Drosophila melanogaster: one gene and its partners. Changing the gene in region 1 together with any one later gene gives a genetic interaction. Each region holds a gene or a part of one and is shown in the gene's direction. Other genes may lie near its edges. The genes, in order: yki, Tgi, vg and Incenp.

What was found.
Region 2: of yki (region 1) and Tgi, changing one suppresses a phenotype caused by changing the other (phenotypic suppression), as found in Drosophila melanogaster (4 studies listed by BioGRID).
Region 3: of yki (region 1) and vg, changing one suppresses a phenotype caused by changing the other (phenotypic suppression), as found in Drosophila melanogaster (2 studies listed by BioGRID).
Region 4: of yki (region 1) and Incenp, changing one enhances a phenotype caused by changing the other (phenotypic enhancement), as found in Drosophila melanogaster (one study listed by BioGRID).

Annotation. Positions count from the first base shown.
Region 1 is NT_033778.4:24,065,468-24,070,420, reverse strand, and holds yki (yorkie), read left to right. Parts: upstream 1-1,935; 5' UTR 1,936-2,105; coding exon 2,106-2,956; intron 2,957-3,166; coding exon 3,167-3,258; intron 3,259-3,704; coding exon 3,705-3,860; intron 3,861-4,107; coding exon 4,108-4,160; intron 4,161-4,243; coding exon 4,244-4,348; 3' UTR 4,349-4,446; downstream 4,447-4,953. Other genes in the region: Gpat4 (Glycerol-3-phosphate acyltransferase 4), read right to left, coding at 179-421, 479-682, 1,087-1,221. UniProt on the Drosophila melanogaster protein: Transcriptional coactivator which is the critical downstream regulatory target in the Hippo/SWH (Sav/Wts/Hpo) signaling pathway that plays a pivotal role in organ size control and tumor suppression by restricting proliferation and promoting apoptosis.
Region 2 is NT_037436.4:13,493,625-13,501,647, forward strand, and holds the start of Tgi (Tondu-domain-containing growth inhibitor), read left to right. Parts: upstream 1-2,002; coding exon 2,003-2,522; intron 2,523-7,275; coding exon 7,276-7,590; intron 7,591-7,658; coding exon 7,659-8,023.
Region 3 is NT_033778.4:12,882,630-12,887,242, forward strand, and holds the start of vg (vestigial), read left to right. Parts: upstream 1-1,571; 5' UTR 1,572-2,682; intron 2,683-3,739; 5' UTR 3,740-4,515; coding exon 4,516-4,611; intron 4,612-4,613. Other genes in the region: AspRS (Aspartyl-tRNA synthetase), read left to right, coding at 113-276. UniProt on the Drosophila melanogaster protein: Involved in determining which thoracic imaginal disk cells will form wings and halteres, perhaps by interacting with other nuclear regulatory proteins.
Region 4 is NT_033778.4:7,276,812-7,282,337, forward strand, and holds Incenp (inner centromere protein), read left to right. Parts: upstream 1-1,794; 5' UTR 1,795-1,917; coding exon 1,918-1,986; intron 1,987-2,049; coding exon 2,050-2,230; intron 2,231-2,295; coding exon 2,296-3,355; intron 3,356-3,418; coding exon 3,419-3,515; intron 3,516-3,659; coding exon 3,660-4,326; intron 4,327-4,482; coding exon 4,483-4,676; 3' UTR 4,677-4,984; downstream 4,985-5,526. Other genes in the region: Br140 (Bromodomain-containing protein, 140kD), read right to left, coding at 1-1,071.

The DNA of each region.
Region 1 (4,953 bases):
TCCTTTCACACTGTAAGATAACTACTCGACAGCCCAATCCCTATGCATGATGCTGTTCTCCAGTCTAAAGCGGAATACATTACTTAAGCGTATCCTTTGGGATAATTTGTAGCATGCATGGGAATCGGGACGATCGGGTAGTTGTGGAAAAGCCACTAAATGAACCGAATGTACTCACACCAACGAAGCATACCAATACCCGGAGGGGCATCAGGATGACGTAGCGGATGAAGAAGCCGAACACCCAGATGGAGGTGATTTTCCAGGAAATGAACTCGTAGTGCCTATTGGTGCGTGTCAGCATGTTCCAGCTCTTGAGCTCCTCCGCCTCGAAGCGCGACGTAACATCGTCCTCGATGATGGCCTCCACGCCAGACTTTACGTAGTCCAGGCATTTCTCAAAATCGAAATTGATTTCATCCTGCAAATGGGAAATGTTGTTTAAATCAGGTGCCCATTGCAATGCCGGACTCCTTACCTTTGTGGAGGAAACTGGCTTCTCTGGAGCGGGCTCCTGTGGCTGGGGCAGGAGTACCGCGTCCCTGGTAATCAATGTGGCTCCATTGGTGCCTTCTTTGGAATCGGCGTCGTCCACTAGTTGCACTCCCTGTTTGTCGTCAGTCTTGGGATTTTGAATGTGTTGGTTTTCTTTGGATGCTGTCTCTATACTAACTCGACCATACTGAAAGTAGAGGTGATTAGTTGTTAACGAGTCGAATCGGGGATTATCTGCAGATAAGATTATCGCAAGCATATCGTCGGACGAGGTAATGACTGGCACTTTACAAGTGTCTGGGAAGCGGCAACTTGGGTGCACTGGCGCACTCCTGCCCCGCAGATTCCTTGAGGATAGCCGAAGAATCTACTTAAAGCTTCCGGGCAAGCAATAGTTTCTCGAACTCGCCTGCATTGCAGTAATTGCGTAGGGCAGACGTAGTATGGCGTACTCCAAAAGCTGACTATATTTATGGACTTTGGAATAGCTTAACTATTGGTAAGACAGCACCATTTGCAAAGCCACCGCAGCAGTGGAGCACCTCAAATCGGTGCTTACTCATCTGAGGAACGAAAGCAAGCAATATTTACCTCGAATATCCTTAGGAGGAGGTTCACGTACGCTTTTCGGACGCCGATTGATTTGTTTATGGCGGAAATAAATATGAGAAATGAGAGGAAGCCCCCGATGGGGATCCAGAATATGTCCAACAGCACGGCGATCATTTTACATTTGTGTCATGCGACATTAGTTATTGTTAAGCGAAAAATGCCTCCGAATTGTGTCGTGCCAATATATACAATGTTAAAATACTTTTTGCTGTAGACCGAACTAGCGATGGACCTTGACTGTGTCAAAAACCTGTCTCGTGCTCACAGACCTGGCCCGCGCTCATCTCTACGGGGAACAAACGGAAAGGGGACGATTCCGGTCGGGCAGGAGACGGAACGGCTTCTTGTTCCACTGCCAATCGTTTTGAAAAGGGTTGAATGAACGTGCACTGAAAACAAAAAGGCACATTTACATTCAGATTATATTGTTATTGGGTATGTGTTTTTGACAGACCTTTACCTGCACTTATTACTTAAATCAACAAGGCACATTTACAATCAGTTTATATTGTTATTGGGTGTGTTTTTGACAGACCTTTGCCTGTACTTATTTTCACTAAACAAAATGTTATAAACCAATAAATAATAATTGTTAGTCTAATAATTTATAGTCTGATATTATGGAACACAAGTGTGTGGGCTATACACACACCATAATTTAATATCTACTTTGTTTTGTGCCTTATTAATTACAAAATATAGAATAAATCTTTAGCTATAGCTAAAGGAAATCGACAAAAGTCGTAATCGGCTTGCGGAATACCCCTGGCATTCCGCAGGTGCAGCCACGAAGCCGATTACATGAGGAACGCTAGTATCGGAATGGACAAGTGGACGGGGATAGCCATCTGGCAACACTGGGATAAATTTATTTTATGTTGGCAGTTCCGTAATTATTATTATTACTATTATTTATTGCAACGAAGTTTAGTTTTTAACACCTTAATGTTATAGTTTCGCGCAGCGCGATGGAGTGATACGTATATGGAAGAACATATATGTGCGCGTGCCTAATCGCTAAGATAATTCTATGTAGTTTTCGTTTGTATACAATAAGTGCCTTTTATATGTTAACGACGATGTCAGCCAGCAGCAATACAAACAGCCTGATCGAGAAGGAGATCGACGACGAGGACATGCTTTCGCCGATCAAGTCCAACAACCTGGTGGTGCGGGTCAACCAGGACACGGACGACAACCTGCAGGCGCTATTCGACAGCGTCCTGAATCCGGGTGACGCCAAGCGCCCGCTGCAGCTGCCCCTGCGCATGCGGAAGCTGCCCAACTCCTTCTTCACGCCCCCGGCGCCCTCGCACTCGCGGGCCAACAGCGCCGACTCCACCTACGACGCGGGCTCCCAGTCGAGCATCAACATCGGGAACAAGGCGTCCATCGTCCAGCAGCCAGATGGCCAGTCGCCCATCGCCGCCATCCCCCAGCTCCAGATTCAGCCGTCTCCCCAGCACAGCCGCCTGGCGATACATCACTCCCGAGCCCGCAGCAGCCCCGCCTCGCTGCAGCAGAACTACAATGTGCGCGCCCGGAGCGACGCAGCAGCAGCCAACAATCCGAATGCCAATCCGAGCAGCCAACAGCAGCCCGCTGGGCCCACTTTCCCAGAGAACAGTGCCCAAGAGTTCCCCAGCGGCGCCCCGGCCAGCTCGGCCATTGATCTGGACGCCATGAACACCTGCATGTCGCAGGACATTCCCATGTCCATGCAGACAGTGCACAAGAAGCAGCGCTCCTACGACGTCATCAGCCCCATTCAGTTGAACCGCCAACTAGGCGCCTTGCCGCCGGGATGGGAGCAAGCCAAGACCAATGATGGCCAGATCTACTACTTGAAGTGAGTTTGGGCAGATTTTAAAAATGATATGCATGAAGCTTTATTTAATACGTGTCTTCTTTATGAACTTATGAAAACTAAAATATTCTTGTGAGTCACAGAAATCTCATTGGCTTCGTTGGATGTCTTTCAAGTTTATCTCTTAATCATTACTAGCTCAACTAATACCCAAAACAGCAATCTCAACAATGGTGTTCTCTCTACTTGCAGTCATACTACAAAATCTACGCAGTGGGAGGATCCCAGAATCCAATATCGCCAGCAGCAGCAAATCTTGATGGCCGAGCGAATAAAGCAGAATGGTAGGTTCTATCTTAGATGTAATGCCTTAGATAAGCAAGTCGTTAACTGCCTGTGGCTGCGTCTCATTGTTAACCCACTTAAATCAGCCATCAGAGGACTAATTAATGCTAGAGACCAGGCAGGGATAAGATAGGCTCTAACTCATTCCAACTAACGCATGAACAGCACAGTACACAACCGATTTCAGGGAGTCCATTCCGTCCATTTTGAGCGCGCCAATGCACTTTTCGGGATTGGGTTGGAGTCTGATCATTTTGGCATTCGGAAGTGGGAGCTCGATTGGATTTGCTTTGAGCATACTCCAATTGATTTTGATATGTGCTGCATGCTGGGCGCCAGTGCCCCTCCGTTCTCATCCGCTTACACACTGCAGCATTACGTTGAAGACATATTTTAATTTGTTTTTATTTACTTTGGTTTGTAATTCATTGTTTTTGTTCGATAGATGTTTTGCAAACTACAAAACAAACTACCACATCGACCATTGCTAACAATTTGGGTCCACTGCCGGATGGTTGGGAGCAGGCAGTTACCGAGTCCGGAGATCTTTACTTTATAAATCACATTGATCGAACGACTTCATGGAATGATCCCAGAATGCGTAAGTCTCGTTCCACCACCCCGACTAGCGTAAGACAACGAGACACACAGATATCGTAGCGATATCGCTAGATAACATTGAGTGCGCAGTGGGCGGGGGGCCGATCACGTAATTCCCATGGCATCTCTGCTTTCACTATATAGTATAGTACTGATCTTGAGATAGAGGCCGAACACTCCACACTCCTTATCGCTCCATGCCTCGCCTTTACTAACTTAACGCCTTCCCTTACCGTGTATCTTTGCAGAATCTGGGCTTAGCGTGCTCGACTGCCCAGATAACTTAGTGTCTTCCCTCCAGGTAAGCATTCGCAGTTGCCGACCGCCGAGTTGGCGAACCGAGTTCCACGCCACTACCTCACTTTGCCCACTTTACGCTTTCAGATTGAGGATAATCTTTGCAGTAACTTGTTCAATGACGCACAGGCCATTGTAAATCCGCCGTCTTCCCACAAACCTGACGATTTGGAATGGTATAAAATTAATTAATTCAATGTATACATCTGTATTAGACCTAAAAGTTTTATATTTTGTATTATTCTAAATTAAATATTTTTCAAATTTTATAGTATTTCTTTACATAAACGAATTTGTGTGTTTATCATTATTACTGGGCGCCTTGTTTCTGGGTTTTAAAGCTTCCGACGATCAGTGAACGCACTGATTGAAAAGAAGATATCTGATTCAGATGACTTTCGAACGCCGAAGAGAGAGTTCAGGTGGATGAAAGGTGTGGTCAGCAGCGATGACTCATGCCGAAACCCGAATACCCCGACTATTGTAAAGTGCAAGCCAAGTAACCAAGTAACCAGAATGCGGCGTGCATTTGGACCAGAATGCACGCGATTCATGAGCTTCATTGAGTTCGATCTGTGACCGACCCAGCAGATTCAGCTTTACGTGGAGCCAAAGACATCCATGCTCATCGGTGTCATTCGCTTGCGAATCTGTTCGCGTTCGCTCTTTATCAATGCTTACCCATGAGTCACTTTTGCAAATATTCTTCTAATTTAGCATGAATTACTTATTTTCGTGATGTCAAGCTAGTCATCGTTTGAATTCTTTCAACAGCTTTCATAGATGATAAGAGTTGG
Region 2 (8,023 bases), on another chromosome or scaffold:
TATCAATGTGCTATAGTTTGTTTTCAAACTGTGCAGATACATATACTTGGGTTATGCAAATTGGGTGCTGATCCATTTTTGAAACGAAAAAAAAACTTCAATTTGGGTTATTAGTAAGGATTCGAGGTATTCTATTGTCGGTGTGGCTCGGGCAAACCCTCATTTTCCTAGTTGGTTGTCATTTTCGCAAGCCCGCTTGCAGTCCTCACTCACAAACACACACACACACACACACACACACATATTCGACAAGCCGTGGTGGAACGTAGGTAGCTTTGCACGCAGCTACAAACATTGCTGGATTTACGCTGGTTTGTGGCAAAACTCTGGGTAAACATTATAATGAGCCCAATGCAGTGACCGGGCCCAAAACAAAAGAGCGTTGCAGACAACATGAAAGAACGCCCACACCATGTGCGCTGCTTGGACCCGACCCGACCCGACTGGCCCTACCCAAAATCGCAGTTCACAGCCAGAGCAGCTACGGTGCTCCAAGAGTTCGCGCGGACTGTGGCCAATTCCCAATTGCTGCCATTTCGTTACCCTTTTGCCCAATTTGCCAAGCATCAATGGGGCAACGGGGCGTGGCGGCCACATCCTACGGACGGATATACAGACATTGGACCCCTTTCTTTGCCTGTCTTTCAGTTGTACTTTTTTCAATTACCAAATCACCAAAAGCAAGCAGAGATCCGAAATCCGTTGAGAACTCCAGCGAACGTCGGCGAGCTTCGGCGAAAGAGAGGGCCAACCCAGTCAAGTCCAGGCCAGGCCAACCAGAGTCGAAACGGAAATTGGTAAGAGGAGAAATAAACGAAAAACAACAAGGGACGACAACTGGCGCAAGTGCAAATGGCTCTAAAAAAAAAAAAAAAGAAAAAAAAGCCCCCAACTCTACAGATCCGATCCCCCCGATTCCCGGTTTCTTCAGAGACCCGAAGACCCGTGGAGACTTTTGCAGCCCAGCGAACGAGCGCAAGACGAAGACTGGCAAAGAAACCGAAGACGGAAGACAGAAGACTCGGCCGCGGCTTCGGAGCTTCGAAAGCCCCCTATATAATAATAATAATACAGCAAGCCCCAGTCGCAATCTTCAAGTCGCCGCTCGCCGACGATCAGTTTGAGTTTGGCCGTGGAAGCCGCCAGTTCGGTGTCGCGTTGCTCAGTTGCTCAGTTGCACAGTTGCCCAGTTCCTAATGCTATATAGCTGACAGCTAGCTATAGCCGATACCTTGCTATTCGTACTACGATTTGTGGCGTGGAACGTGCGTCCAGATCGGTTCGTGTGTGCCGCCCCGTTCTGTTCGTCGGTCTCTGAAAGCGAAAACTGGCGCTCAAGTTCAGTCAGCGATTTGTCGATTTCTATGCAAATCATTACTCGGAAAAGAAACACATATAACCCAGAGACGACAGAGTCGGAGACAGAGTCGCCGTAACAACAAAAGGCAGAAAAAGCCAGAAAAAAGAGCGTGCTATTTTTATTTTGCTAAATGTCGACTCGAGGCTCACGTCGCCGGAGCAGAGCCAAAGTCTCCGTTTCAACTGGCGAGAGACTGTAACCCGAGTCGCGGTTCGCGCAAAAAAAAAAAACCAAATCGCAGAAGAAAAAAAAAAAAACCAACAGACAAACAGAAACAGATTGTATCTGTATCTATAGTCGCGACTTGCGGCTCGTTTTGTGTGCGCACATTCGTGTATCTGTATCTGCCGCCGAGCGCAAAAAAGTAATCATAAACTGGAAGGGAAAGAAAAACAAATAAATAATAAAAGAAAAAAAGAAAAGAGTGCCGCTCCCCAGCATCCGAGAAGTACTTCAACTGATACCGATTGATAGATACCGCCCCCAACTCCCGGCCAAGGCGTAGTGATTTGTGAATCAGCTGAGTCGGTTTTTCGGCGGCGACTGCGGTGTGGGAGGATCGATACCCCCAGAGATTTGGATCGAGAAGAAGGAAGTGGCTAGATAGCGCAGCTAATTGAGAATCCATCAAGTTCGCATAGAATGGCTCTCCGCTTAGATTATCGTTGCTTACTGGATGCCTTCGAGGATTACTACTACCACAAGGAGATCCAGCGTTTGGTCGCCGAAACCGCTGGGGGGGCTACAGCAACATCTCCCGCCTCATCCGCCTCATCCGCCTCCTCGACGGCCTCCATCTCATCTGCATCCTGCTCGAGTGGACCCTCCACTTCCTCCATTGTCTCGTCCGCGGCCAGTTCGCACGGTTCGTTGGCCCAGGTGGCTACTGCCCGAGCGGCCGCTGCTCTGGCGGACCAACAAGCACTGGCCAGCCAGAGGGCCATGTTCTACAATGTCCAGCATCCTCAGCAGCTGGAGCAGCTGCATGCGTTGCAGGCGGAGTCCGGCAATCAGCAGATGCATCCGCAGGCGAACGCCGATCCTAACGCCTCCTCCATGGCCAACAGTCTGCTCTGGCAGCCATGGCGAGATCTCCAGCAGGCGGCCGCCATGCATCACCAGCTCTACAGGCAGCAGCAGCAGCAGTTGCAGTTGCACTCAGGTTCGTTTGACAGGGCGACTTCAAAGAAATCGACTAGCGAAAATCCCCCGACTGACTGACCTCGGGGGACTGAAAGGTTGAAACTGTCACATACGGGTGATCTTGCCAGTGAAACTTGCTTACAATTCATTAGGAAGATTGCACATGAGGCCACAATGGCAGGGGATAGTTTGTTTGTATTCTTTCAAATGTGAGATCCCCTTCTTCGTAATTCCATTTTTCGGATTCGTGTAGTTTCACTAATTTGTCTTATCATAACCTTTAATTTATTCCGTGCTTCTTCTGGGAAGTAAAGTCTAAATGTTCAGGGTTCTACAACGTTGTTACGATTTATTATAACGATTATTAATAGCCATCCTGTCGGTAAATGGTACGCTTCAATTTTAGGTAAATAAATATCAGAATTGTTTGTAACAATTGTTTATCAACAACAGTGTGCTTAAATGAATTCAAACTCTAGTATAAACCCTCTTAAAAATTGTCGATTTCAAATTGAAAGAGGTAACACCCTGTCAGTGTCATTCTAGCTTTAAACCACCTGTCAGTTTTTAACTAAATGAAAATTTTAAACTATAGTAGAAACATTTAGAAACATCTAAAGATGTTTAATTACACATTTCAACGAAGCTTTGAATCTTTAAGTATAAAATCCAGCATAAAAAAACACAAAGTTCTTTCCATTTAACCCAAAGTTTCCTATGACAGCATAGGGGATGTTCTTGTTACCTGATTTCTAGTTGAAATCTCATTACAACAAGATCTTTAATTGCAGCTTTAAAAACCGAACAAATAAGAAGCCAAAACAAAGACAATATTGTTTATATAAACTCTTTGCAGACCAGAGTATTGAAATCTTACAAGCATCTTGTTAAATAGTATACGTATATCACCGAATGAACATTCAAACTCTTTCCACTTCTTGGCATGACTGTTCCTTGAAGTAAACAACACGTGTGGTTCTAGGTTACCACATAATATGTTCGCAATTATCTTGGGTGGATGGAGGCAGGCAAAGTGCAGCGAAGAGCAGGACAAGCGAAGACCACGTTGCTGCACCTGCTGCTCACGTGGAGGCTACACTCATTCGCCTGATCGGTGCTGAAGTTCAATGGATCGGCGAACGTGCCCTTTCCTTTGGCCACATGGCCACGATAATCACTCACCCACTGCGCTCATGAATGGGATATCGGAAGCGATTCGCTAAGCCTCGCTTTATCAGTTAGTGGGCGGCGTGTGGCCAGGACGTGGACGTGAACGTGATGACGATTGGGATTGGGACTCAGACGCAGATTGGCAACGGCAGCTAACGCAATCGGTCACGCCGGCTGCAAGAGCGTATCGATGGCGTCTCTACTTGGCTTGTGCCAACTGGAAAATTGGTAATGAAATTGGCAACACTTTTACTGCGCTCCCCCGTCGCCAACGATTGGCTTCGGGCTCGAATTGGCAAACGAGCAGACAAACACACTCACACTCCAGTTCCACCGCGTTAATTGGCGACATTGCACAAATCACACAAATGCTTTCAATTACATGGCGACGCCAGGCAAACACAAAAATCACTGGAAAAAAAGAGCAGCCCGAGAAAGAGCAAAAAATGAGCGCCTGTTTAAACATTAAACCTCCATAAAAAAAAAATAAAAACGATGAGGTGGAACTTGGATTGGGAAGGGGGGGGGGGGGGCTTGGTTTGGGGCTTGGAGCCGCTGTGCTTGGCTCGACTCGGTTTTGCTTTGCTTTTGTTAATTTGTTGACATATTAAAACCAGATTTGCAATCAACTCGGCCAGCGGGTAATGCGGTGCGGGTATAGCGGAAAGTCTGGCAGGGATCGGGGGCTTGGGGATCGGATACGTGGTTACGGGCATGACTCACTAGCCGGCGCGAGTAAAGAAAAATAAACGTAAAATATATAAATAATGAAAAACGCCTGCGATGGCGGTGACGGTGGCGGCGGCGACGATGATGGAAAAATAAATGTGTACACAAAGCTACAAAAGCTACAACAACCAGAGCAGCAACAACTTGTTTGCATAAGCCACAAAATGCTGTTCCCATTGCTATTGCTATTGCTTTGAAGCCATTTGTAGTACAATCTTACACTCCGAACAGGCCAAAACTTATAAGCATGCAAGTCTGCTTGAGTTTTGTCACTCTCGCGCCGTCTCTCTCTTTCCGCCTCTCCTCCCCTCTCTTTCGCGCGTTCCCTTCGGGTCGGAACCAGATATTGGGATCTCACTGGGCCGGCGCTTTCAAATCTCGCCAGACAGCTGATATATCACCTCAGCGGTGAAGAAGTTTTGAGATTGGCCCACCGTTACCGGAAATTGTGAAATGTTTCGCCTGAAATAATGGTTCGATTTTTTTGTACAATAATAATGTACTCTAATTGTTATGGGCAAAGTTTCTAAAATACTTGGATTTATTTTAACATCTAACATTATCAATTGAAAAGTCTATTATTTGCTAAATTTGTTGTTTATAGGAATATTAGGGAAGTAATGCTTTCCTTGTAATTGCTATCCACAAAACATTGAAATGAAGGCAGATAAATTTACCATTTATATGCATCTCTATAAAAATAAATGGGTATCAAAAACTAACGAAATAACCCTGTATCGATTATATACTTATACGAATTATAGAATAGAAGACCTGATGACAAAACCTTAAATACGAATGTATAGATTGGTTTCTTAATTATTCAACTTTGCGGTTGTTTTTTTATTGTTTATTCAAGTCGTTCTTTATGGCTTCAATTCATTTTACAAATGCCAAAACCTGGTTTCTACCTTTAAATCGTTTGATTTTTCTGTTCGGAGTACAAGCTAACTGTCACTACATCCTACATCGCCTGGATCCCACGACTGTCCCTTGCTTATATCATCGATGTAACCCCATTTCGAGCTCCCTTTTACGAACTCCCCCTTAATTTCGAAACGGCCTGCCATTCAATCGACTTCCCCTTTATCGCCAATTAGCCGATACAGAAATGATTAAAACGCTGGCAGCAGAACAAATAAACAATGCCGAGAGGATGCTGAAAATGCGGTGGCGGCGAAGGTGAGATAGGGAGCTGCAGACCACAATCCGCAAAAGAGGGGGAGCCTCAAAAAGAAAGCTTAATGTTCCAACTTCCATGCTCCATGCTCCATGCTCCATCGTTGTCGTTTTCGTCTTCGTTGTTGTGGTTGTTGTTTTCGCTGTCGAACCGCCGATCCCCCAACAGACGGCGACGTCCGACGACCGGAAATGTGCAATAAAATTTGAATGTTTCTTTATTATTATCATCATCCCCATCATCATCCGCTTGAGCCCGAGCCCGAGCCCGAGTCCAAGCCCAAGTTTGCTCCCAGCCTCCGTGTTTGTTGGTTTTTAATGCCTCTTGGCCTGCAACTCCAACTTCACTGCCTCCGCCCTCCTCCTCCACCTCCTCGTCATCCTCTGCGCCCAGTGCTCCACTCGGGACAGACCAGTTTCTTGGCTCCTCTTACTGGTGCTCCTCTGCCTCGCCGGTTTGGTTGGACTCGCAGAGGTAGTAATATATGGCAGCCCCGCAGTGACGTTGCCAAAAACAGGACAACGCTCCCGCCTGCTCCTACCACTCCTCCTGCTCCTGCTCCTCCGCCAACGCCAACCGCCTCCATCCCAATCCAGCCATTCATTCATTCATTCATGCCTGGGTTCCTGGGACTGCAGCTACTCCTCCTCCAAACGGGGTTCTCTGCGCTGCTCGAAATGTGCAGAAGTCGCCCGACTGGTTTGCCTGCCCCTTCGATATCGGCCGAGAAACTGGGTTCTGGGACCTGGCTTCCCGCTGCCAGCCTTTTGCTTTATTTATAAACTTGGTTTCCTGGCAAGCTGCAGCAGCAGCTACACTGAGCGCCTGGAGCAGATGGATCTTTCATCCCGACGGGATGCCCACGCTCCGTTTTGGCCGCTTCCCACGCCGGCAGCTCGGTCAATCGCCCATTGGCAGGCCAGGCACGTTCCTGCGTTTCGCTCAGTGTAGGCCAGGCCCAGACTTTAATACACACACACACACACACATACAACCCAGGCGAACTCGAAAAAGAGCGTAGACCAAACGAGTTTTCGTAACCAATTTTGTTGGTGCCTTGGAGTTTCGATTGTATATGCTTTTTCTGTTGTTATTATTTATTTGTTCGAGTGTGTGTGTGCCGTTTTTTTTGTTTTATTTTTATTCATATTTTTTGCCGATGACGGCTACGTCTTCTTGTGCATAATTTCTGTGCTGCCTTAAACTCTTCCTCCTGCCCGCTCTTGCCGCTCTCTGCCGCTCCGCGACTTTGCAGCTTTTGGCAGAGGTTCATTCAAAAAAACGAAAGACTTAGGCAACAAACTTGCAGGACAGAGCGGGCCAGGGGGGGGTAGAGATTTGGATACATAGACGCAGGCAGGCGATCGGGTGGAGGAGAACCTTTGTAGAGTCAGCCTCGCCTCAACTCCAACTGATTCATTACGCCCACTCATCGACCGCATAATCGAAGCCAAGACGACAGACACGTAAACCGCAACGAGCATTGGTGAATCGCTAGCCAGACAAAACCCAAATCAACCGCAAAGCCACAGCAAATTTATGGGTTTTAATTGAAATTCGATTTTTGTCTATAATATGGACATATGGACTATTACTATTCAGAGGGCTAGCCAAAAAGATGGCCAAAACAGATAGCTCGTTTTCCTGAAAACCGTTTTTGACTCTTGATGTTTCTTTTTTTTTCTCCTTGCAGAGATGCGTGCGACGTCCAAGGTGCTGACCACCACCAAATGGCGACGCGAGCGGCGTCAGCGTAGTGCCGGATACCAGCCGCACGAGGCAGGCAACAGCGAGAGGGAGCGGGAACGGGAGCGGGATCGAGAGGATCGCGACATGGACAGTCCCATTGACATGTCGGTGACGACGGGAGCTCTGAAGCAGAGAGCCTCACCGCCGCCACCCTATCGCGAACCCTTGCCTGGGACCAACTACGCGGCCAACAGTCGACCCAGCGTCATTACCCAGGCTCCACCCAAGCGAGAACCACCGGAGCAGGCCCACTCTACAGGTGAGAAGTCATATATGCACATTAGTGTCAACGATCATACTAACCTGATGCTTTGATTTGCCTTGCAGATATGGCGATGTGCGACATTGACGAGCACTTCCGACGCTCACTGGGCGAGAACTATGCTGCCCTGTTCGCCAAGAAGTCACCGACGCCTACGCCAACACCCACGCCCTCGCCAAGTGGTACACCTAAGCAGCAGGTTTCGCCACTGGCCTACGGACTGCCTTCATCAACCAGCACAGCGGCATCGCAGCACTACCAGCAGCAACGCTCGCCGCTGGCCAAGTCGGGATGGGTCATTCTGGAGCCCGAATCGCTGCAGCCGGAACTGCCGCCGCCGCAGGAGGAACCGCTTCCCCTGTCGCTGGCACTGCATCGCACCCAAACGCCGCCATCGCCGCCACCTTCGGCCACGGGATCGGCACCAGCG
Region 3 (4,613 bases), about 11 Mb from region 1:
AAATGCATAGCTCAAGTGCTTATATAAGACTGTAACCCATTTCAGATAAGAAGTTGAAACTTATCTACTCTATTAATACTTAATATTAACGCCGTATATATTTGTTTTCTAGATACCTCCAAGATTGCGGCGTACATCGAGTCCTTCCGCTATGGATGTCCTCCACATGCTGGTGGTGGCATTGGAATGGAGCGTGTGGTGATGCTGTATCTGGGATTGGACAACATCCGCAAGACTTCCATGTTCCCGCGCGATCCCAAACGATTAACGCCTTAAGCACGATAGACTCAAACAACGTACTCTTTAGATTTGAATACAATTCGATGAAACAATTGTTTTACTTTCCCTGTGACTTTCCAAGCATTCAGTTCTTTTTATTTTTACGCCAAACCCAATCGTGAGTGTTTTATCCTTCTTCTCAAGACTAACATGCTGCAAAGTTGTTAAACAACGAGAAAAATGTACGGGAAGACTGCCTAGAGTCAAATTTATTTGGAAACTCGTAAGAAATAAATACTTGCGCGTATGTTTTGTACTTTAATAATTGCTTTTAATATTTTGGTTGGTTATTTTTAAGTGGGTAAAATATATAAGCTAACGTGTAGCTAGAATATTATATTTTTGTTGCATACTTTTAGGGTCTGTAGAAAGGCCACATTTGTTCTCATAGCTTATCAATATGCACCTGGTCAAAGAGTTTTCTTAATGTTTTATTCAAAAGGTTGAAACCAGACCAATTTTATTAAAAGCCTTAAGTAAAAACAGTTCACTACTTTTGATTTGTCTAATTGGATTGTAGTATAAGAGATTAATATTCTCATCATTTTCAAAATAAATAAAAGATATTATTATTATCTGGCATTAGAATTTAGAAATTTAGTTTTTGATGCAGGCTGTGTAATAACCATTATAGTTTTCTTGGTGACCATCTATAAGACTGACTACCTTAACTACTTTGAGAATCCCTTAAATAATCACCGCTCGAAGTCCCGTCGGCCATGTCTTCTTTATCTGGAAACTTCTTTCTCAGGTTAAACTCCCACATAAACATGGTTTTTTTTCTAGCTTTCTCCGTAGTTATAGAAGTTTCCCACAACATTTTATGCAACATTGCTTAAACAACTTTCTGCGTATTAAAACAAATTTCGATATTTAGCCAAATCGGTATAACCAGTAATCAAATCATATTAGCTGTCACTAAAACCAAACTTTGTGTTCCGACTTTCCTGGAATTTGTAAATGAAAACATAAGTTTAGATCCTATATGCTCTGTAGTAGGGCTATTTTCCATGCCGACTTGATGTATTCCATTTTTATATTATCCACAGATTTTTCAGCTTTTTTTACACGTTCCTATCAGAAATCTAACAATTAAAGGTGTAGTAGACCGTCTTTCACTTATAAGCATCCACACCTTGTCAACAATCCGCGGCGAAATGAAGGCGAATGAACAGCACAATAAATTGTATTCATTTGCAATCAGATTATTATCAATACGGAAACTTCGCGGTTGAGGAGGGCTTGGGGCTTGGAAGGGGACTGGAAAACAAGGATTGCGGGGGCACTGCAAACACTGTTGACACAGTTGGCGCATACTTTTCATTGCGGAAAGGCAAGGAAAGGAACAAAAGGACGAAGTAGAAGGCCCCGGATGAATGCGAATTCCTTTCAATCTGTTTGTCGAACTTTAAAATCAGAGAGAAACAGCAGGAGTTTCGTCTACTTGAGGACACAATTGAGACGCACTCCATTTTATTTTCACACCGATGTGGCATCGTTAGTTGGAAACCTGGAAACAACAATACAACGCTGAATGCGGCAGCAATCAAGTGGGCGGTGCTTGGCAACTGCAGCACACTAGTTGTCCCGCTCCCACCGCGGTCCAATGACTGCCGTGCGAGAGAGATGGCCCGATACAAGAAATTGCCATTTTGTTTTCAATGCCGCGGCGACTGCGCTGCCGTCGCGCTGCCCGCAAATGCATTGGATTTACCGCTCCTTTTGCCAGTTTGTTTTTTCTCTTCCGATTGAGCGGCAGCCGGAGCTCTCCGTGTTTTTCTCTCACCGCCGCGCGGGATTTTCGATTTCGGATTTTCGATTTCAGCGTAAACGAGAATATCGTAAAATTAAAACGAAACAAAACCAAAATCCTAGTGAGTGATCGCGGCAAGTGCAGTTCATTTGTTTTCCAAGTGCCACATCGCAAAGCAGAATAATAATTATAGAAATAGAGATTTCCGCGGATGCTGCAATTGCCAAAATAGTGCCGTTCTCCATCTCATTTTCGCTCGCTGGCTATCGCCCTCTCTCTCACTCGCTCTCGCACAATCGGGCCGCCAAGAATTTATGGAATTCGGCATTTTGTGGATTTAGCGAAAATATTTTCATTGAGTGCGCCGACCAAATGTTTGCTGCTCGTTTTCGGTTAAAAATAATCGCAGAAGCCGCTGCGCCAAAATCTCAAGAATTCACGTGCGAATTCCCCAGCGCGTATCACTTTAATTACTATTCAAATTAACAACAACAACAAAACGATCAAACGAAAATTAAGTCAAGTTTTACCTTGTCAAGAGATGTGAAATTGTTGAATATTTTGCAAAAAGTGCACTGTAACGAGAATTGAGTTGATTTACGCAAGCAACACTGAACATCTTATTGGATTACACTAAAAACATTCAAGTGGTAAGTGCGGGTTCGATAAATGAAATGTCAAATTGGACCGCAGTCGTTTTCCTTCTGGTGTCATTATAATTATCATAATTTGCCTAATTTATCGATTTGCATTTAATTTTATTATGCATATTAGGCTAAACGTCTGAAATTGATGTTTGTACCTTACATCATAAGGTTAATTTATTAATTCCACTTAATTGGTTATATTGTTCCTATACTTTTTAATTGAATTGTAAAAAGGTACAACGTGAAAAGCTCTGAACAGTTAAGGATTAAAAAAAGGTTGTTAAATAGCTTAAGTTTTTTGTAACGGGAACATTATGGAGCTATAGTTATTTTCCAATTAAATTGGGATAATATGTAATAGCAGTAGTAGAAGCACAGATATAATTTATAGGATTATTCATTAAATTACGAATATTTTTTGTGACAGATAGCTTTTAAAATGTAAATTTTGTGTTTTCATGTCCCGACGGAGGTTTATTTAAAAATGATTCCTATTGCCGTCGGACCTTAGCTATATTTTCATTTCAATAGCTTTTACTGTGTTCAATGCAATAGTTTGTTCAACGTTTGGCATTCGCTGCTGCTGTTATTGTATCAATCAATAGTTGCAACGATTATTTATTTCCATTCTACAAAAAAGCTTAGCATATTAATTTGCGACCTAATTCAAGATATTTCTAAAAGCTAAAGCCAAGAATTAAAGAATTAACTTCAAAGACTTTTAAAGTAATTCCTTATTTTCCGACGGATATCTTTAACAAGTTTTAATTCACTTCGTCTATAAAACCGTTTATGTGCCAGTTTATTGGTTTTTATTTTGATCATAATTACTTTAGCTGTGAAAGCATTCGTTTGTGGTTTTCTATAGCCATTTTGAAACTTGATGATGCTTTGTTTACATGCAATTGCTTTTCAACAGACATTTACGGTTCAAATAGTCACATCATTAAAGTCGGTTTTAACATAAATGCCAGAAATTGGCTCATCAGCTTTGAATTTCTTACCACAATTAGCAAATTGTTAATGCCTTCTCCTGCACTTTTCTCCATTTTCCTTCCAGTTGGCAATTCTTCGTCGGAAACGCGGATGAGAAACGAAATTGACGTTCCAACGCCAAAGGGAAAAAAAAACTGAAAAAATAGAAAACAACGACTAACAGCAATCAACAATGTGGAAATGATAATTGCAATTGCCTGCACAAGCAAACAAAGAAGAAAGAAGCAAGTGAAGAAAGTCGAAGAGCGACGAGGGGAGGAAACTGAGTCGAAAAGAAAAGGAAATTACCCACGAACGGGAATGGCAAATGCATAGAAAGAAGTTTGCGAAAAACAACAAAAAACGTAAACAAAAAACAGACAAAAAGCAATTATAGCTGCTGATACAAACGCGATGGTGTTTTACAATATGTAAATATAATTAGCCGAGCGGAGTTTTCATTCCAGGAATTTTGCCAGCCAACAAAAGAAATAAATACTACAACTGCTGCAGAAAAAATACAACAAAAACAACAAAACACGCCTTGACTTGAAAGCCGGTTTTATAATTACTCCAAGTTTTAGCCCCCTTCCCTCCCCGCGCGCTCTCTATCTATATATCTATCTCCCTCTCTTCAGAGAGAGCATTCAATTTCAAACCCCCGATACGATTACGAATCCAATTGGAACCACGCGTATTGGCATCACAATTCCCTCCCCGCTCAAGTGACAATACCAATTTAACTACCATCCATCGCTAAACCGCAAAAGCAGTGAGCCAGTGTGAGTGCCAGTGCCAGTGCCAGTGTGTGTGTGGCAGTGAGTGGCAGTTGCAGTTGCAAGTGCGCTTGCCACTGCGACAATGGCAGTGTCCTGCCCCGAAGTTATGTACGGTGCCTACTATCCATATCTGTACGGGCGCGCTGGAACAAGTCGATCGTTCTACCAGTATGAGAGGGT
Region 4 (5,526 bases), about 17 Mb from region 1:
CTGCCCGTGGTCCGTCTGCTTGAATGCGCCGCCCGCATTGGGACAGAGCACACAGTTCACAGGCTTACTGGGTGACTGCAAGCATCGGCGGCACAGCCACTGGCCCTCCGGGATATAGGGGACACCGTAGCAGTCCTGGTGTACCGCCAGGTTGCACATGTCGCAGAAAAGTATCACGTTGGTGTTTTGGCACTCGCCGTCGAGGCAAATGCAGCAGACTGCGTCGTCGTCCACCTCGACGCCTGTGGGTGTGCCGTTGGCCGCCGCCTGGAAGTGCGACTCCTTCTCCAGCCGGTCCATCAGCAGCTCCATCGTGTCGATGCCCACGGCGTTCAGGCCGAGTCGCTGGCGCTCCTCGTTCATGTGCTCCAGCCAGGCGGAGTCCTCCTCGTCAACGTCGTACTCCACCTCCCCGTCCAGCTCCTCCAGGGACTTTTCGATGAAGCGATAGTAGGCCAGCGGCCGTGGCGGGGCGTCGGACACTCGGTAGTCCGGAATCTCGGCCACCCTGGCCACGGGCACCTGGACCCTTGCCCAGGGCGCGTTCTCCTCCAGCGGTGGTGCGTCGGCATTCAGAATACAGCCCCTGGCCACTAGGGCGGCGAACTCTTCGTCCTCTACGAGCGGCAAGGCGTCGTCGATGCCCAGGCGCACGCTCTTCCCGTCCAAGTTAAACGTCACCGTGGCCTCCTCCTCGTTGTAGGACACCAGTGACTCTGGATTGGCGTACTGCCGGGCGCTGACTCCGCTCGCCGATCCACCTCCTGCGCTGGCCGAGGAGCAGCCGTTTCTGGCCTCAGCTCCACCGCCACCCGGCGTGGGGTGATCCTTGTGCGGACGAGGCGTGGAGTGGTGGCCGCCGGAGCGTGAGCGCGCCTTCTTGCGGCTCGGAGTCAGCACGGGCGTGAGCGGCTGTGGGTTGTCGTGGTCGTACTTCATAAGATGGTATTGCAGACCCATGATGGTCTTGTAGCTGCGGTCGCAGCCGCGGACGGGACAGGCGAAAGGCGGCTGGGACTGCTGGGTCTTCACCCCTTTGCAGTATTCCACTGCGTCGAAGTCGAGGCCCATGATCTGGATCTGCGGCGCGATCTGTGGATCTGCTGCAGCTGGCTTCTCGGGGTTTGGCGGTTCGCTGGTCGCGGATCGCGGGCACTGTGTCTACTCCGCGGCACGGCTGCGCATACGTATGTGCATCCCACGGTGGTCGTCGCAGAGCGCGCGGTTTTGGCTGTCCACCGTTCCTGGTCGATTTTCGTTGGCTTGTTGCAAATTTTTTAACAAATGTGCTAGAGATGGGCTTGCTGGTCAGCTCGCCATGGCGATACTATCGTCGGAAGTGCTTGTGCAGCACTGGACGTTTGCTGAAACTTGTTTGAAATATTTCCGGTCCTTTACGCAAATTAATTCTCTTCCGTAATCTATATTTATAATTTAAATGTTCCTTTTTGTTCTTTCCCTTACCATTTTCCCTCAAATTTGTTTACAATATGTTTTTTGGGGAGCCGTGCAGCACTGCTTTCTAGAGATGGTAGTGGCGGGAACGTATTGGAACTGGTTCACCTAATGTTATACTTTCAAAATTTACAGGGCTAGAAATCCAGTACGTAACTATTTAAATAACCCAATAATATTATTTTAAAGAATTCAAATAAATATCTCCCAATATTCACTCAAAAAACAAGTTTTGGTTGTGTTTTTCATTTTGCGCGGGAACTTTATCGCCCGTGCAGTGTTGGAAAGCAGAGGCATAAATGCGCCTTACAGCACCCGACGAGCTGTTAACTGTCAACAGTGCACAATTAAAGGCATGTTATCAAATGCTGACGCGCGTCGCAATTGCCGCCATTTGAAAAAAACGATAAAATCGAAGGAACCGAATCCGGATTTGCAGTTTGTCAGATACAGTCGCTAGATATGGAGGACATCTTGGGCGTGCTGGGCTCGCTTTCGGACCTGCGCAGGGAGCTCGAGGTCCTGCGCAAGGTAAGCCAGGATCAGGAGACGAAATTCCGACACTGTCAACATGGCGTCATATGTGTTTTTTAGGCCCACTTTGAGGAGCTGGACCACCTCTTCTACGGCACAGGCCAGCCGGAGGCGGAGGCCAAACCGAGGGACAGTGCTCCGGCAGCGAAGAGTCAGGAGAACTCTTCGGTGACGCCGCAGCAAACGAAAAAGCGCCCCAAGCGACTCACCTCACTGGCCGAGGATCAGAATGAGCCCGAGGGTGAGTATCCTGGCCATTTTAAAGCATTAACGACCAACAACCCCTGTGATATTCCATTTGAGCAGCTCCAGACGCCACGGCCAACAACACGTCGGCCCGTCAAAGCACTCGGGTCAGCAACTCCCAGTTGCTGGCTATCGCCGAGGACGAGCACAACTCCACGGCCTCGCTGATGCCGCCTCCGCCTGTGCCCGTCTCGGCGGACACCACCCTCGGCTCCGGAAGGCCACAGCGAGCCGCTAAGCTGAAGACCGAGAAATTACTCAAGGAGCCCTCACTCAACCGTAAGATGCGGCGGCCCAGCAGCGAGGAGCTCGTAAAGGTCAAGGTTGAGAGCGAGCAGCGAGTCTCCCAGTTTAACAGCTTCACCAGTGCACAGGCGTTAGAGGAAAATAAACTAGCGGAGCCGGAACTAGAAGAGCCAGCAGCAGAAACAGCTGAGCAGCAAAAGCCTCCGGAGGAGGCCTCAGTCACAGAGGACGTGAACACCACGAAGACACTCCGCGTGAAGGTAAAGCGCGAGAAACTCAGTACCGAAGCAGTGCCCCCGTTAACCAATGCGGTCTCCACGGCAAATGTGACCACCGTCTCCTCTGTAACAACGGAGGCAGCGCGACCGGACGATACGGTGGCCAGCAACACGACGACATCCACGGAGGTCTCCAAGAAGGTCCGCAAGAAGAAGAAGGACGTGGAAAGCCACCGACCCATAAAGGTGGAACGATTCAGCGACCTGGACAAGAGCTCGCCAGTCTCGTCGCGCACGCGCAAGTGTAGCAGCGATTCGCGAACGGTTCAGGAGCGATCCATATACAAGGATGCACTCGAAGATCCGCCCGTTGCAGAGCAATCAGTGGCTGCAGTTGCTCCGGCTGCTGTCAATGAGACCGTGGCGATTTCCAACGCCACCCTCGTACTGGGTCCTGCGCCGACGAGCGATAGTCCAATAGGACCAGCTGGAGATGCCACTTTTGAGGTGCACTCCAACGACAAGAAACAACCTCTGAGTAAGCAGGACAGCCTCTTAACGGAGGACGAGTCGGTGGAGGAGAAGCTGCCGACGACCAAGCTGCTCTCGAGCATAAAGGCTATAAAACTGCCTACCCGTACACATGAGCTTTTCAAGTGAGTAGATACCCTGCCTCTTCATGCATGTTATCCTTCTAAACAATCTTTGCACTTCTACAGCCCACTGCTTCAGAGTCCAGTGAAAATGCGCGTGGAGGCGTTCGAGAATGCGGCAAACGCACAGAACAGCATGCGCCCTAAGCGGGGAAAAGATCTGGTAGGTACAGTATAGTTGCACATATATAGCAGGCAGATAGCAGGCAGAATTAGGCTAGACTATTCACCAGTTCTGTATCAATTGGCGCTTTCTAGAACTGTTTGATAGGTGATTCATTTATTGTTATTTTTTTTTACTCTTCAGCAGGGCACGCCAGGATCAAACAACACTCCCAAAATTGGCAAGCTGCCTGCTCCGACTGTTGGTCGCTTTTTCACACCGACTCAAACGACAAGCACACTACCATTAAGCTCGGCGCAGCCCAAGAAGGGACCTGCCAGCGCGTCTAAGGCCACTAGTCTGCTGAAGACGGCCACCGGTACGAACCTAAGGTCGGTCAATTCCACGTCCACAAAAACGCTGTCGCGCGAGAACAGCGGAGACGACTTCCGCAAGGGCCTGCACAATCTGGCGGAGGAGCGCAAGAAGCTGCGTGAGCAAAAGCACCAGCAGGCTGCCCAGCAGCGCGAAGCCAAGGAGCGGGAGCGGGCAGAGCGTATGGCCAAGCTGGCCGCCGAGCGCGCCAAGAAGCAGGAGGAGCGAAAGCGAATTGAAGAGCGCAAACGACAAGAGCTGGAGGAGCTGCAGCGGAAGATGCGCCAGCAAGAGGAAGCCGAGGCGCTCAAGAAGGCCAAGTTCAAGGAGCTGGAGCAGCAGAAACTGCAGCAGCTAACCGGCGCCAAGCCCAAGAAGATGCTTCCGCCGCCGCCGAAAACCAAGTACACCTGGGAGATGCTGCACGAAGACGACTCGACAGACGACGAGGGAAAGGTCACCCACAAGCGTCCCCCAGCGCCCACCTGGAGTCGAAGTAAGTTTGTGGATCATTTCGAAGAGTTATTTTCGAGATACCTTATTCATCGTAAATATATACAAGTAAATACACCAGATTACAGTCTGATTTCCATTGGGACTACTAAAGGAAATGTTCTTAAATATAGATTCTGACTTATGTGTTTATTTTCAGGCCACGTAAGGGGAGAGGCAATTGCTATGCAGAGCCACTGCCCAACCGACATCATCGACAGCTTTTTCTCGGTGGCGCCCACCACACCGGACCTAAAGCAGATATTCCCGAACATCGATCCCAGCCAGCTGAAGCGAAACTCCAGCGTGCTGTGGTCCACGCCGCCGCGCTATTCCGAGCTGCCGAAATACTAGCCAAGTAGTCCTGCTCTCTTCTCCCGTAAATGCACATGTTTATGATCGAATAAATAAAGTTAATTGTGAAAATTAAAGCGGAGTACCGCTGCGCGATTCACTGCGACTCTGACACTAATATCCAGCTGCTTTAGAACTATTAAAGCCGCCAGCGTGCTCAATTAATGGTTCGCTGGTGGCTGCTTGCCGATTCCATTAGCCAAGTTGCCCAACAATGGATACGTCGATTCGTGAAAAGTGTGAAAACGCAGAGGAGGCAAGTAAACGAAATAAAAGAAAACAAGCCCGGCAAACACAATTTCACTGGTCATGGGGCATGGTTTTGTGGCATGATGCGCAGACGATCGAAAAGACTGCCTCGATTCGATTCTCCTCCATCATGTTTCCATTGCTGCTAATCCCACTTTTCCAACGAGCCATTCTCATTTTCAATCGAAAGCCGAAATCAGCGGAATCGGCATGGGCAATTGGCACAGTAATTGCTGCTGATTAGAGTCGACTCCATGTGGAAGTCGCCGCGGATCCACCCATGAATATGATTCGATGGGACCATCTTAATCCGCAATCTAATTAAGGCGCGTACGCTCCCCAAATTGCCACTTTCAATTGTTACTGTTTCCGTTTAAGTGCACTCTGTTAGTAGCTCCACTTCCCCACGGACCCAAGTCGATTGGGGCTGAATCTATGTGAATTCCATGTGGCACATTGGATACTCTATCAAAAACTGTAAGGAAAGATAGTAACACATCTAAATGAATAAGCTCTAAAATTCCATCAAATGCCACTTTTGTGATCCATCAGTTTGCAATTCTTTAGAACTTTTGAAAGACCAACTTTTAGATTTTCCCAT